3 linked regions of the Cricetulus griseus genome follow. The protein of the gene in region 2 binds, or shares a complex with, the protein of the main gene of each other region. Links are inferred from orthologs where the notes say so. Each region holds a gene or a part of one and is shown on either strand. Other genes may lie near its edges.

The links.
Region 1: Med12 (region 2) and Med18 share a complex: the UniProt entries of both Homo sapiens proteins name them as parts of the mediator complex. The link is inferred for Cricetulus griseus from reciprocal best matches to the Homo sapiens genes MED12 and MED18.
Region 3: Med12 (region 2) and Med23 share a complex: the UniProt entries of both Homo sapiens proteins name them as parts of the mediator complex. The link is inferred for Cricetulus griseus from reciprocal best matches to the Homo sapiens genes MED12 and MED23.

Annotation. Positions count from the first base shown.
Region 1 is NC_048595.1:20,799,977-20,804,316, reverse strand, and holds the start of Med18 (mediator of RNA polymerase II transcription subunit 18), read right to left. Parts: upstream 2,824-4,340; 5' UTR 2,670-2,823; intron 1,989-2,669; exon of another isoform or gene 1,934-1,988; 5' UTR 1,905-1,933; coding exon 1,832-1,904; intron 1-1,831. UniProt on the Homo sapiens protein: Component of the Mediator complex, a coactivator involved in the regulated transcription of nearly all RNA polymerase II-dependent genes.
Region 2 is NC_048604.1:68,958,976-68,962,535, forward strand, and holds part of Med12 (mediator of RNA polymerase II transcription subunit 12), read right to left. Parts: intron 3,119-3,560; coding exon 2,957-3,118; intron 1,625-2,956; coding exon 1,247-1,624; intron 1,033-1,246; coding exon 882-1,032; intron 746-881; coding exon 540-745; intron 379-539; coding exon 301-378; intron 210-300; coding exon 1-209. UniProt on the Homo sapiens protein: Component of the Mediator complex, a coactivator involved in the regulated transcription of nearly all RNA polymerase II-dependent genes.
Region 3 is NC_048595.1:244,044,875-244,049,124, reverse strand, and holds the start of Med23 (mediator of RNA polymerase II transcription subunit 23), read right to left. Parts: upstream 2,824-4,250; 5' UTR 2,702-2,823; coding exon 2,654-2,701; intron 2,348-2,653; coding exon 2,316-2,347; intron 2,206-2,315; coding exon 2,118-2,205; intron 464-2,117; coding exon 339-463; intron 1-338. UniProt on the Homo sapiens protein: Required for transcriptional activation subsequent to the assembly of the pre-initiation complex. Component of the Mediator complex, a coactivator involved in the regulated transcription of nearly all RNA polymerase II-dependent genes.

The DNA.
Region 1 (4,340 bases), on a different chromosome or scaffold from region 2:
AAATGGCTTAGTGGTTCAGAACCTCTACTGCTCCTGCAGAGGACCAGAGTTCAGTTCCCAGCACCCACATCAGGCAGCTCACAACTGTCTGTAACTCCAGGTCCAGGGGATCCAACGCCCTCTTCTGGACTCGGCATGGACATGATACACATAAACCCAAACAGGCAATCACACAAATAAATGAAAGATATTTGCCACTTCGGAGGCAGAGGCAAATGGAGCTCTGCGAGTTGGAGGCCAGCCTGGTCTACATAGTGAGTTCTAGGACAGCCAGGACTACCCAAAGAAACTCTGTCTTGAAAAACCAAAAATAAGTAAACAAATAAAAACAAACAAACAAATAAATACAAAGATAAAGGACAACTGCCCAAGGACAAAAATTAAATGTTTACTCGGTAACATTTTAGAGGGACCAATGTGACGGCTCAGTGGGTAGAGGTGCTTGCTGCCAAGCCTGATGACCTGAGTTCAATCCTTGATACCCACCTAATGAAGGGAAAGAACTAACTCCCACATGTCCCCTGACCTCTACAGGTGTGTTGTGGCAAGCACAAGGCCGCTCCCAAACAAATAAAATGTAATAGAAAAATCTAATTAAATCCAGTACAAATATCAAGCCTGAGGACTTGAGTTCAATCCCCCACCCACACAGTGGCAGAGAAATGACTCCCACAAAATATGCAAGAGCGCCTGTATACACGTGCGTATATACACATACACACACATTTCAAAAATAAATAAAGCTTAACTCTGCCTACTAAATATATTGTATGATCTCCTAAAAAAGTCAGCATTCTCTTTGGGTCTTGTTTTATCATTGAGCCTTTATCTCTGTCTTCTGGGCTTTAGGACAGAGCTAAAAAAAATAAAATAAAATTTAGGGGTCATTACAAGACTCAAGCAAAAGCCGGGTGGTGGTGGCACACGCCTTTAATCCCAGCACTTGGGAGGCAGAGGCAGGTAGATGTCTATGAGTTCAAGGCCAGCCTGGTTTACATTGCAGGCCAACCAGGGATATATATAAAGTGAGACCCTGTCTTCAAAACCAAAACCAAACGAACAAGCAAACAAACTACCCCCTAAGAGTCAAGTAAGTAGATACAATGCTTGAGATACTCAGTGCAGAATAGAGATTCGGAAACAGGAACTTAGCACGGCCTGGTAGCCTAGGTCTGCAATTCTAGCTAATAAGGAGTCCAGGGCTATCTAAGACCCTGTTTCCAAAAATACAAAAACCATGTAAATATAAGACATAATTCTGTCAAGGATATAATGCCAAGTAAAAGAAACCTGTCACAAACCAGTCATTTCACTTCTTTGGGGCATCTAAGCAGTGGATGAAGAAAACAAGGTGTGGAGGTGATCAGTGTCAGTCGAGAGGCAGAAAAAGTAAAGATGAAAGAAAATGAAGCAGGGGGGTGATGGTGCACACCTTTAATCCCAGCACTTGGGAGTTTGAGGCCATCGTGGTCTACAGAGTGAGTTCCAAGACAGCCAGGGCTACAGAGAAACCCTGTCTTGAAAAGCCAAAAAGAAAAAGAAAAAAGAAAAGGCAATTGTTTATGGTGCATCTCGTTAAACCCAGGTACCTGAGGCCAGACTGGTCTGTGTGGTGAATTTCTGGCCACTGAGTCAACCTTCCCACCCTACCTCCTTTAAACATACTTACAGGGAGACAGAAACTGTGTGGTTGACTTTGTTAGCTTTATCTCTACTTACTCTGACCAAAAAAGAAAAGGAAGGAAGGAAGGAAGGAAGGAAGGAAGGAAGGAAGGAAGGAAGGAAGGAAGGAAAAACTTGGCAATTAATGCAAGCTCCCTGGCTCACTTACCCTGCAGGAGGTACTCCATCATGTTAATGGTGCCCCCAGTGACTGGCATCATGGTGACTGGAGGGGCCTCCATGGTGACGGTCAGGTAAACACGGGATACACCTGGAAGAGTCACACTTGTTTGTACACTGGAGCGGTTAGTAGCGTGGCTCCGGCACTGAAATCAAGACTCAGGCATTCAGAACTTCGCATTTATTTATACAGCCCGCTCCATGAACAGGCGACACAGAAACAAGGGTTCTGGCCACGGAGATACGGCGTAACCTTCTAATCTCAAATTCTGAACCCTCTAAGTTTCCTAGGTAATCTTGAGGCAGCTGTGCAACCTCTTTTTCTGGAACTTACTCTTTTAAATAAGACTAGGGGCATTTAACCGCCCAGCCTCCCTCCCCCAGCTACGTGGCTCAAACGAAACAACCGACATACAACTAAATTCAGAAAAAGTAGAGTCACCTTTAGGCTACACAGAGGCCCCGTTTGCAAACATAAATAAAAGCTGGCCGTGCTGGGGCACATCTGTAATCCTAACGCTCGACAACAGAGTTAGGAAGACGGCTGCAGGTTCGAGGCCAGACTGGTCTACCTAGCAAGTTCCGGCCAACCGGGGAATCGCAGTGAGACCTCTAAAAACCCAAAACAGAAGATCCGAAGGCGACCTAAGGACCTTCACCCTAGGCGGACGCCAAGGAGACTCAGGGAGAGGCGCCAGGGTACACGGGGGTCCGCCTGGAACAGGGCTCGGCCTTTTTCCCCTTTTCAAACGAGCCAGGCGGGAAGCGTGACTAAAGTGACGGCACCGGTCCTCCCACGCCGGGATCCCGGGCACGTGTGCACTTACACTAGCAACACGCCTCCGTGCACGCCGCAGCTCCCCGCGAAGCTGGAATTAAGTCCACGCTTGCACACTCGCACCCACAGATACCAAAATCCCGCCAGAGAAGATGCAGGCATCCGCCTTCCGCACTTCCGGCAGGAAGCTGACGGACAGGAAACCTAGGCCCTGAAGCGCCGAGAAGTAAGGGTGCCGAGAGGGCCAGGAATGAGCCTGCCTCCTGGCACCGGGGGCAAGAGCGCATGTGCGAAGTGCGGCGCTGCCTTGCGAGGGGGTCCTGGTCTGGAGCGGTGCGCTGGGGATAACTGCAGGGCCTTACGTCATAGGGCAGCTCTAGGATAAGTGGCGCTCTCCCCCACAGCTCCGACGACCTGGGTGTCTTGATCAGATCTCTCCAAACTGATTGGATACTATGTTTAAATTGTGAACTGAGCCACTGGGGAAAGAGCCGCATTGATAGCATCAGATAGCTCAAGGTGACAGAGGTCTGATGCGCTCCCCAGCTAAGCACAGCGTTGTGCCTGTATGGGCCTCAGTGCTAACACTGAATGTTTTGTGTGTTTTCAAAGGTCTGGAGAAATAGCTCAGTGCTAGACCCTTTCCCTGGCCTGTGCAAACTTAATACAACAGCAAACTTGTATAATTTCCTGTACAAACCTCAACTTTACGTACAGGGAACCATGCGGGGCGTTGGTGACGCACGCCTTTAATCCCAGCGCTCCCGAGGCAGAAGCAGGCGGATCTCTGTGAGTTCGAGGCCAGCCTTGTCTACAGAGTGAGTTCCGGGACAGCCTCCAAAGCTACACAGAAAAAACCTGTCTTGAAAAACCAAATAAAGGAATGAATGAATGAATGAATGAATGAATGAATGCAGGGGACCAGGCACAGTCTGAATCAGAACTCGGAAGGCTGTGGTAAGAATCTCTCCAGCAGAACTGTTCAAGACTTAAACAACATTGTGAGACTTTTCAAAAATAAATAAATAGGGGAGAGGCTCAGCAGTTAAGAGCACTTGCTGCTTTTTTTTTTTTTTTTTTTTTTTTTTTTTTTTGGGGGGAAAGGTTTCGAGACAGGGTTTCTCTGTGGCTTTGGAGGCTGTCCTGGAACTAGCTCTTGTAGACCAGGCTGGTCTCGAACTCACAGAGATCCACCTGCCTCTGCCTCTGCCTCCCGAGTGCTGGGATTAAAGGCGTGTGCCACCACTGCCCGGCTTTTTTTTTTTTAATCATTTTTAAAGATTTTATTTATTAATTATGTATAGAATATTCTGCTTCCATGTATATCTGCACACCAGAAGAGGGCACCAGATCTCATTACAGATGGTTGTGAGCCACCATGTAGTTGCTGGGAATTGAACTCAGGACCTCTGGAAGAGCAGGCAGTGCTCTTAACCTCTGAGCCATCTCTCCAGCCCTCTAATAACACTTGTAATGCAACATTTTTATTTATTTTTTTATTTTTTTGGTTTTTCAAGACAGGGTTTCTCTGTGTAGCTTTGGAGCCTATCCTGGCACTCGCTCTGGAGACCAGGCTGGCCTCGAACTCACAGAGATCCACCTGCCTCTGCCTCTCGAGTGCTGGGACTAAAGGCGTGTGCCACCAACGCCCAGCGTAATGCAACATTTTTAAAGATTAATGAAAAAAAAAAAAAAAAAGATTGTGAGACAGTGGCTCACA
Region 2 (3,560 bases):
GAAGTCAGTCCATGCCCATACGTTGGGGCCTGCTGATGCACATAGCCACTGGGCCGCTGTTGCAGGTGGCGGGTAGGATCTACAAGAGTAGGATTGGTAGAAGGGTGGGTGCTCTGATAAGGTTGGCTGGAGTAGCTGGGGGGCACCATGGTACCTGCAGGGCCTGTGTGTTGCTGCAATCCCACATGTGATACATAAGAAGTATAGCCCTGGAGAGAAGGATGCGAGACAGAGCTGGGGCATGAGTGTGTAAAGCAGCTTGCTCCCCTCTCCCTTATGTTCATAGTCTTAGGCACTTACCTGGGAAGTCTGCAAACCATAGGAAGAACTAGGAGTCATCTGATGGACAGATGACTGTCCCAACATCCCCTGACTCTGCTAAAGGGAAAAAGGAGAAGTCAAATTCAGGAAATGCTTTCTGTCATGTCTCTTTTATACCTTCTACCCTGCATGTTCTTGTGAAGTTCCCAAGTATCTCCTCAGTCCTGTGACCCACCAAAATCCCTCTCCCTGACAGTCCTCCCTACTGCCCCTCTCACTATCTTTGCCTGGAGCTGTTGGCGAAGGCGCTGTCCCTGGGGCACTGTGGGTTGCTGCTGCCGGTACACAGAGGTCTTATAAGATGAGGGTTCAAGGCCCATGACAGTAGTCATAGTTGTGGGCAGCACACCAGGATAAGTTGGTCTAGTTGGCAGCTTCTGCATTGGTAATCGCACAGGGCGGTAGGGGTCCACACGAGGGCCACCTGGAAAGGAGAGCAAATTGACCTCTCTGAGATCCTCATCCCTTCAGCCTGTTAAAAAATACAGTTCCAGCCATCCACATCTCCCCTGGAGAGGGAGGAATGTTCAACTCCACCATTCGTAGTGACTAGCACTTACCAGCAGGTAGTGGTTGATTCTGGGTGTACAGGCCTAGGGAGTTCTGCCTATAGTTAAGGTGGGATATGGAACCAGGATTTGCATGGTGCAGAAGGTCTGGAGGTACTGTCACACCATAGGGGCCACTCCGACCTGGGCCCATGCCATAGTCCTGCATGGGTGCAGAGGACAAAGGTTACAGCAGTTGGGGGTCGGGAGGTAGGAGAAGGAGGGAGAAGGGTGTAAGCAGGAGTGGCACTGATACATTATTATCACGATTCTAATGGCACCCCTTCCCCATGTACCCCATACCTCCCTTAAACCAGGAACTTTAGCTCCCTACCACACAAAATTAGGAAGGGGGTAGGTAGGGATGGGGGACTAGCCTCCGACTTGGTGGCTGGCTGGCTGCGTTTTTTGCCCTTGGTGGACTTCTTCTTGCGCTCCTCAGTGCTGGGAGGAGCAGCCCCCTGTTTGTCAGTCTTGGGGGGCTCAGGAGCCTTTTTCTCAGGCTCTAGTAGGGCAGGGGCTGGTGGCTCCTCATCTTCTGGGGGCAGTGGTAGTGGTTCCAGGTAGTAGGCTCTGGGCCGAGGCCTCAGGTGTGTGTGGTAGAGAAGCAGCCGTTGCTGCTCCTCCCCTCGTGCCACTCGGCGGTCCACTCGGACTGTGCCAAACCAGGCCCAGGAGAGTGGTGCTGTTGATGGCTTCAAGCCCTCAAAAAGATCCCAGGGGGAGATCTTTTGTTTGGTGGAAACTTGTAGACCCTGCTCCAGAAAATGAGAAAACAATGAGCTGTTGAGCCTTGGAAACAGGAGGCAGGACTTGAGAACTTATAGAAAGAGTAAAATATCTGTTGACAAGTTTTCAAACAAGGAAAGACTTTTAAGTAGATCAGGGGACATGATGAGAAGAGGAAAGACAAACACTGACACAGACATATGCAGGAAAGACCATTTTTGCTGGCACAGAGTTGAATTGCAGGAGAAAGGCGTGAAGGGGAAAGGTAACGCCAGGACAGAAAGAGGTACTGAAGGAGCAGACAGGGAAACAGAGGTGCTGGGGAGGGGAGAGGCTGACAGAAAATGTGAGGGACACAAAGAAACCATTGGGGAGGGAGGAGCAGAAAGGGGAAAGGAGAGGAAGAGGGAAGAGGAGGAGAGGAGGGGAGGGGAGGGGAGAGGAGAGGAGGAGAAGAGGGAGAGTGAAGGGAAGGGAAGGGAAGGGAGGGGAGGGGGATAAGAGGGAGGTGGGGGAGAAGAGGGGGAGGAGGGGGAAGGGAGGGGAAGGAGAGGAGAGGCAAGGAAAAACTAAAGATGGCAGAGAAAGAGAAGAGAAAGACAGAGGAGTAGGGGTAGAGAAACAGGGAGGGCAGGAGGGAGAGAGAGACACACTGATGCAGAAAGGAATCAAGAGAGTGTATACACAAAGGGGTTTCACTTTGCATTTGAAACTCTGTATTCCCTTTTCTCCCTCTTCTATGCAGAGTAATACATTTAATCAAGAAAATACTGAAACTAAGGGCTGGAGAGATAGACCAATGGTTAAGAGCCCTTGCTGCTCTTGCATAGGACCTAGGTTTTTTTATTATTATTATTTTTCTGGAATCCACATCAGGCGGCTCACAATCACTTATAACTCCAGCTCTAGGGAATCCAACTTCTGACCTCCATGGGCATCTGTACACATAAGTGGCATACATATGCACATATAATGTTTTTAATCCAAATATTGAAGCCAACATGAAAAAAGGGAAGTAGAGTTGGGCAAGTAGAGAGACATGAGGAAAAGAGGCAGGGGTCAGCAGAGCGGTAAGAGGACAAGAAAAGAGGTGGGGCAGAGGGGAGGGAAAGTGGGAGAGGGTCAGGAAGAGATAGGTGGAGGTAGAGCAGTTTTCAAGAAAAGGGTGAGATTACAAAAGAAGGGGAGATAAAGTGCAAGGAAACCTAAGTGATTTGCTTAAAGCCCAGGTGGTCTGTAGGTTTTATTGAGGAGAGCCTAATGGGCTCCTGAACTCAGTGTGTTAGCTGGAATTGTGAGATCAGAAATGAAAATGGGGTGCTAGGGGGTAGAGGGCATGGCAAGACAACAGAACATGCCTCCTTCTTGAAGATGGAATCGAAGCCGGCAATCTTGTTGCCTTTGGTGTCGATAAGGGAGCCCTGTGGCTCACAGGTAATGACATCTCGGTTCTGCTTGGGTAGTGGCAACAGTTGATGAACCTTTTCCAGACTGTCAGACTGGCGCTCCCCCAAGTCCTTCTGCAGGAACAAGAAGATAGGCCATGAGTTCAAAGATACAGAACAAGAGAAGTAGGAAGTCTCAAGGGTAGCAGAGAACATAGTATGTATAAAGACACTAAGAGCTGGGCATGGTGGTGCACAGCTATAATCCCAGCACTTGGGAGGCTGAGGCAAGAGTATTTTCAGTTTGAGGGCCAGCCTCGGCTATATAAAGAGCCACCCATCTCAAAAACAACAACAACAACAAAAAAAAAACAAAGATAATCTCAGCACTCATGAGGCTGAGGCAGGAGGATTGCTATGGGTTCAAGTGCAGTATGGGCTATGTAGTGACATATCCCTTACAGGACAACCTGTGTTACCAAATGAGATCCTGTCTCAAACCAAACAAACAAAGAGTAAATTTTAAAAAAGGCATTTAGTAAATCTGCATTGCACAGACAAAAAAGAACAGACAGGA
Region 3 (4,250 bases), on a different chromosome or scaffold from region 2:
GTGACTCAGCAGTTCAGAGCTCACACTTTCTCGAAGAAGCCGAGTCCAGGTCCCAGAAGCCATGCCAGGTGGCTCCCATTACCTGTTACCTCTAGCTCTAAGGGATCCGACACCCACTTTGGCCTCTCAGGCATTCCTATAAACATAGCAACTAGTAACGCAGATGCATACACATCAAAAACAAAATAAATTTGAAACCAAAAATAACCGACTTTTAAACTGACTTACTAACGAGCCCAGGCCCCTCTCCATCTCTTATCTCTGTACAACAACCTCAAATCAACTCTGCCTCTTTTGGAGGGAAGGTCTTTGTACAGGTCATCCCCACCCACACATACCTGGGTGGAAGGAGGCCAGTCTCAACTGCCATTGCCAAGCAGTCATAAAGGAAAGAAATTCTTTTAGGGCTGTGTTGGCCATGAATAAATTTAACAATCCACTGGATGCATTGTTCATGAGAATCCTAAAAATTAGAAAAAGTTTTTATTTTAGGCCTGAAGTTACATTTTCTAAGGAACAGAAATGGTTAATATCATACCAGGGGATATATCAGTACCGTAAATAAAATATTGGACTGTGAACATCAGTAAATTAAAATAATTCCTAAAAGGGCAAGATTCAAGTCAGATTCAACTGTGGGCATGGTAGTATATGCCAGTAAACCCAGTACTTGAGGGGATGACGTCTATGTGAGGCTATCCTGGGCTACATATAGAGTTCTGTCAGCCTGAGCTATATCTAGCAAGACCTTGCCCCCAAATAAAGATTTAATTAGTATTTGTTACACTGATTCTTAAATATTTCAATTAAACTCCTACCATGAGACCTCCAAAAGCCGCTAAGATTATATTAGCAAATTCACGGCCAATAGAAACTCATCTAAGTTACTCTAAGCAGCATCTTTACAAGGTGATATAAATATTCCACTTGCTGGAGGAAAAGAACCTAACTTAGGTGGGGACCTCAGCCTCATCAAAATTTAGATGAATACAGTCCCCATGAAGGCTAATCAGAGCCTGCCATGATTCCAAACACAAATCTAATTTCTAGGTCTTCATAATTAAAATCTGACACCAAAAGTCTTGCTGATATCAAGACCATCTTTCAGGTGTATACAAATGGTGATTCTATAAAATAAAAATATAATTCTGAGGCTGGGGATGCAGTTCAGAGAGGAGCGTATGCCTAGCATGTGGAAGGAACCCCGTATTCCCAGCACTGTTAAAAGAGAAAAAGCACACTGTGATGGCAGACGACTCTGTAATCCCAGAACTCAGGAGACAAAGGCGGGGTGACATAGACAGACACAGTCTCATATGTAGATAAACAGTTCAGGGACCACCAACTGTGATTCTAGCTTCAGACGGGGGTTGGGGGGGAGCTAAGCTAGAAAAGGAAGAAAACCAGCCTTTGGAGCCACTCTTCTGCTTTCTGATTCACGCAAAGTACTACCTTTTGAAAATAAACTTAGAACATATTGTCTTTAGGGTGGCAAACATTACCACTGGCTCAGAGGCAAAAGCTCAGTAGCTCACTTCCCTATGTTTAGTGTACCATGAGAAGATAATGTACTAACAGGGACTCTATTACAGCATCTTTAGGAGGGTATACTCATAAATCCTGGGTAATTTTTTTCAACCGTGACATTTTTCTTTTACAAGAAATGCTTAACATTATCTGTTTCCATGTGGAAAGCAAATGTATCAAAATAGAATAAAATGTCTTATATAATCTAACATGAAAGAAATTTTTTAAAAAAACATCTCCCACTGGGATCTTATTACATTGAACTTTCAATGCAGGTTCTGCAGTAAAGAAATAAATGTAGCCAGGCGGTGGTGGTGCATGACTTTATTCCCAGCACTTTGGGAAGCAGAGGCAGGCAGATCTCTGTGAGTTCGAGGCCAGCCTGGTCTACAGAGCAAGTTCCAGGACAGGCTCCAAAGCTACACTGAGAAACCCTGTCTTGGGGGTGGCAAAAAAAGATATGAATGTAAAATGATGGCAATTTTATTTTTCCTATTCCTAAATGATCTTAAGAAAAAGGTCAATGTGGACATAAAAAGTAAGAAGGAACCAGAAGTCATCAACTGGCTGTTACATAGGTAATGTCTCACCTGAGAAAGCCCATTCCAAAACTGTCGGAAGGCTGCCAAACAGCTAATTAGTTTTGTTTTTTCATCCTCAGGGGTATCCATAAACATGCTAAAAAACAAAAATCACATTACTTGCAATTATTGCAACTCCCCCAAACCAACGTAAGTAAAATCTTACAAAGATACATCTCACAAAAATCCTGCCTGCCTCATACTCACCCTGGGAAAGCCTCTTCTATAATTTCTGTTTTCTGCAAACAAACAAAATACAGTAAAGGATCTGAATAATCAAAAGGGGGTGGGAGGTGTTCCCTAGAGAAATAGTTTAGGGCAATATAGAACAAGTCACTTTTATCAGGAACGCGCGGGAACTAACGATGCTTTCTTTGAATCTGACAGCTGCCCAGGGATCGCCAACCCTAGTATAGACTCCAATGTCAAAACAAACAAAGGGGGCGGGAAAGGAGCCGGCCCTGGTCCAGGCCCAGAGCCGGGCCGCAGTCTCCTCCCTACTTCCCCCACCCCCTCTCCCCCTGGTCACGGACATTTGCACTCACCACCACCTCCTCGAAAATGCTCTGCAGCTGCGTCTCCATCGTTACCATCGAGCCCCGGGCTCCCGGGGTGCCCGCCAAGGCGCGGGTAAACCCCTCGATCCGGGAAGAAAGGTGCCAAGGGGAGGAACCACAGGAAGGAAGCCCGGCTTTCTCGCTCGCTTCCTTCAGAGGTCCGCAACTAAAGAGAGCCCGCCCGGAAGCTCGGAAGGGCCCGGTGCGCTCTCATTACAACCACTCCGAGTATCTGTAGCCCTACCCGATGGTTCCGCAAGCTGAGGTGGCCCGCAAGCTGACAAGCGCACCTTGTTTGATATGAGACCTGCTGCCTTGGTCACCACCTCCTGGCTGGAGACGGAGCTGCGTCATATTTTAAGTTCTTTTGCAGCCAAACCAAGCGATGCCTGTCAAGGACTGACCATCTGAAAGAGTCGATACCGCTTTATTCTTGCCCGCGTGCACCCTATCTTCTTTATGGTAGTTGCCTCAGTTGCTAGGAGATGGGCACGTTCTTTCGATGAATTTTGAAAAAAAAAAAAGGAATAAGCGCATTGTTATTAATTTAATTAATTTTGATTGGTGATGTTAAGCACATGATTAAAAACACTATTTTGCATCGCCCTGGAAAATTTATGCAGCCAGCTGCTCAACCACACTGCCCTAAATCCAGAAAGCACTCTCTATTTATACTACCATTCGTTTGTCACATCCTTGATGTTTATGACTGGACTGTTTACATCTTCTGTCTACTGTCAATCATATAATTTTTCATAAGCTTATTTGTGGTTCTAATACATCCTGTATTCAAGTTTTTCATCTTATATAGACAACATTTTTCTTTGCTTTAGTTTGTGCTCTCGGATAACACTTCTATCCCCTCCTCTTTTTCTTTCTTTCCTCCCTCCCTTAGTCTCTCCCCTCCCCTCCATTTTCCTCCCTTTCTTCTCACCTCCTCTCTCCTTTGGTTCTTTTCAAGATGGGGTCTTTTGTAGTCTAAGTAGGCTAAACAGAGACCACTATATAGCCCAGGTTAGCCTGGAACTCAAAATCTTCCTGCCTCAACCACCTGAGTCCTGGAATATTTTCTTACTTTATTAAACATTTCTTTCATTGTAGATTAATTTTCATGGATACTTTGAATTTGTTGTGGTTGTTGTCTTGTTATCAATAATTTCTCCTTTATTCTAAGGACATGATGCTATCAATGTTTTTTTTTTTTTTTCCCAGAAACTTCAGAGTTTCAGCTGAAGTTAAGTCCATGATTTTTAAAAATTATACATTGTGGCTGGTGATAACTTGTCACATGATTTTTCCTTGGGGAGATGTAAATTAACGTTTACATACCACAAACAGAGGGCATTGACAGATTAAATAAAGGATTCCATTCAAGTGCAGCTTGGTGAACCAATGAGTTTATTATAATTACTTATAGCAGCATGGTGACATGGGCAGCCACATCACTGGAAACTCCTATTCCACGCATGGATGTCTTATAAAAAGATGTACCACTGGAGAGTACTCTCCCAATAAATTACTTTTAATACAACTTTGGGGAATAGAGGGGATTTCTGGGGATCTTATAAAGGCTGCCTTGAGTTTC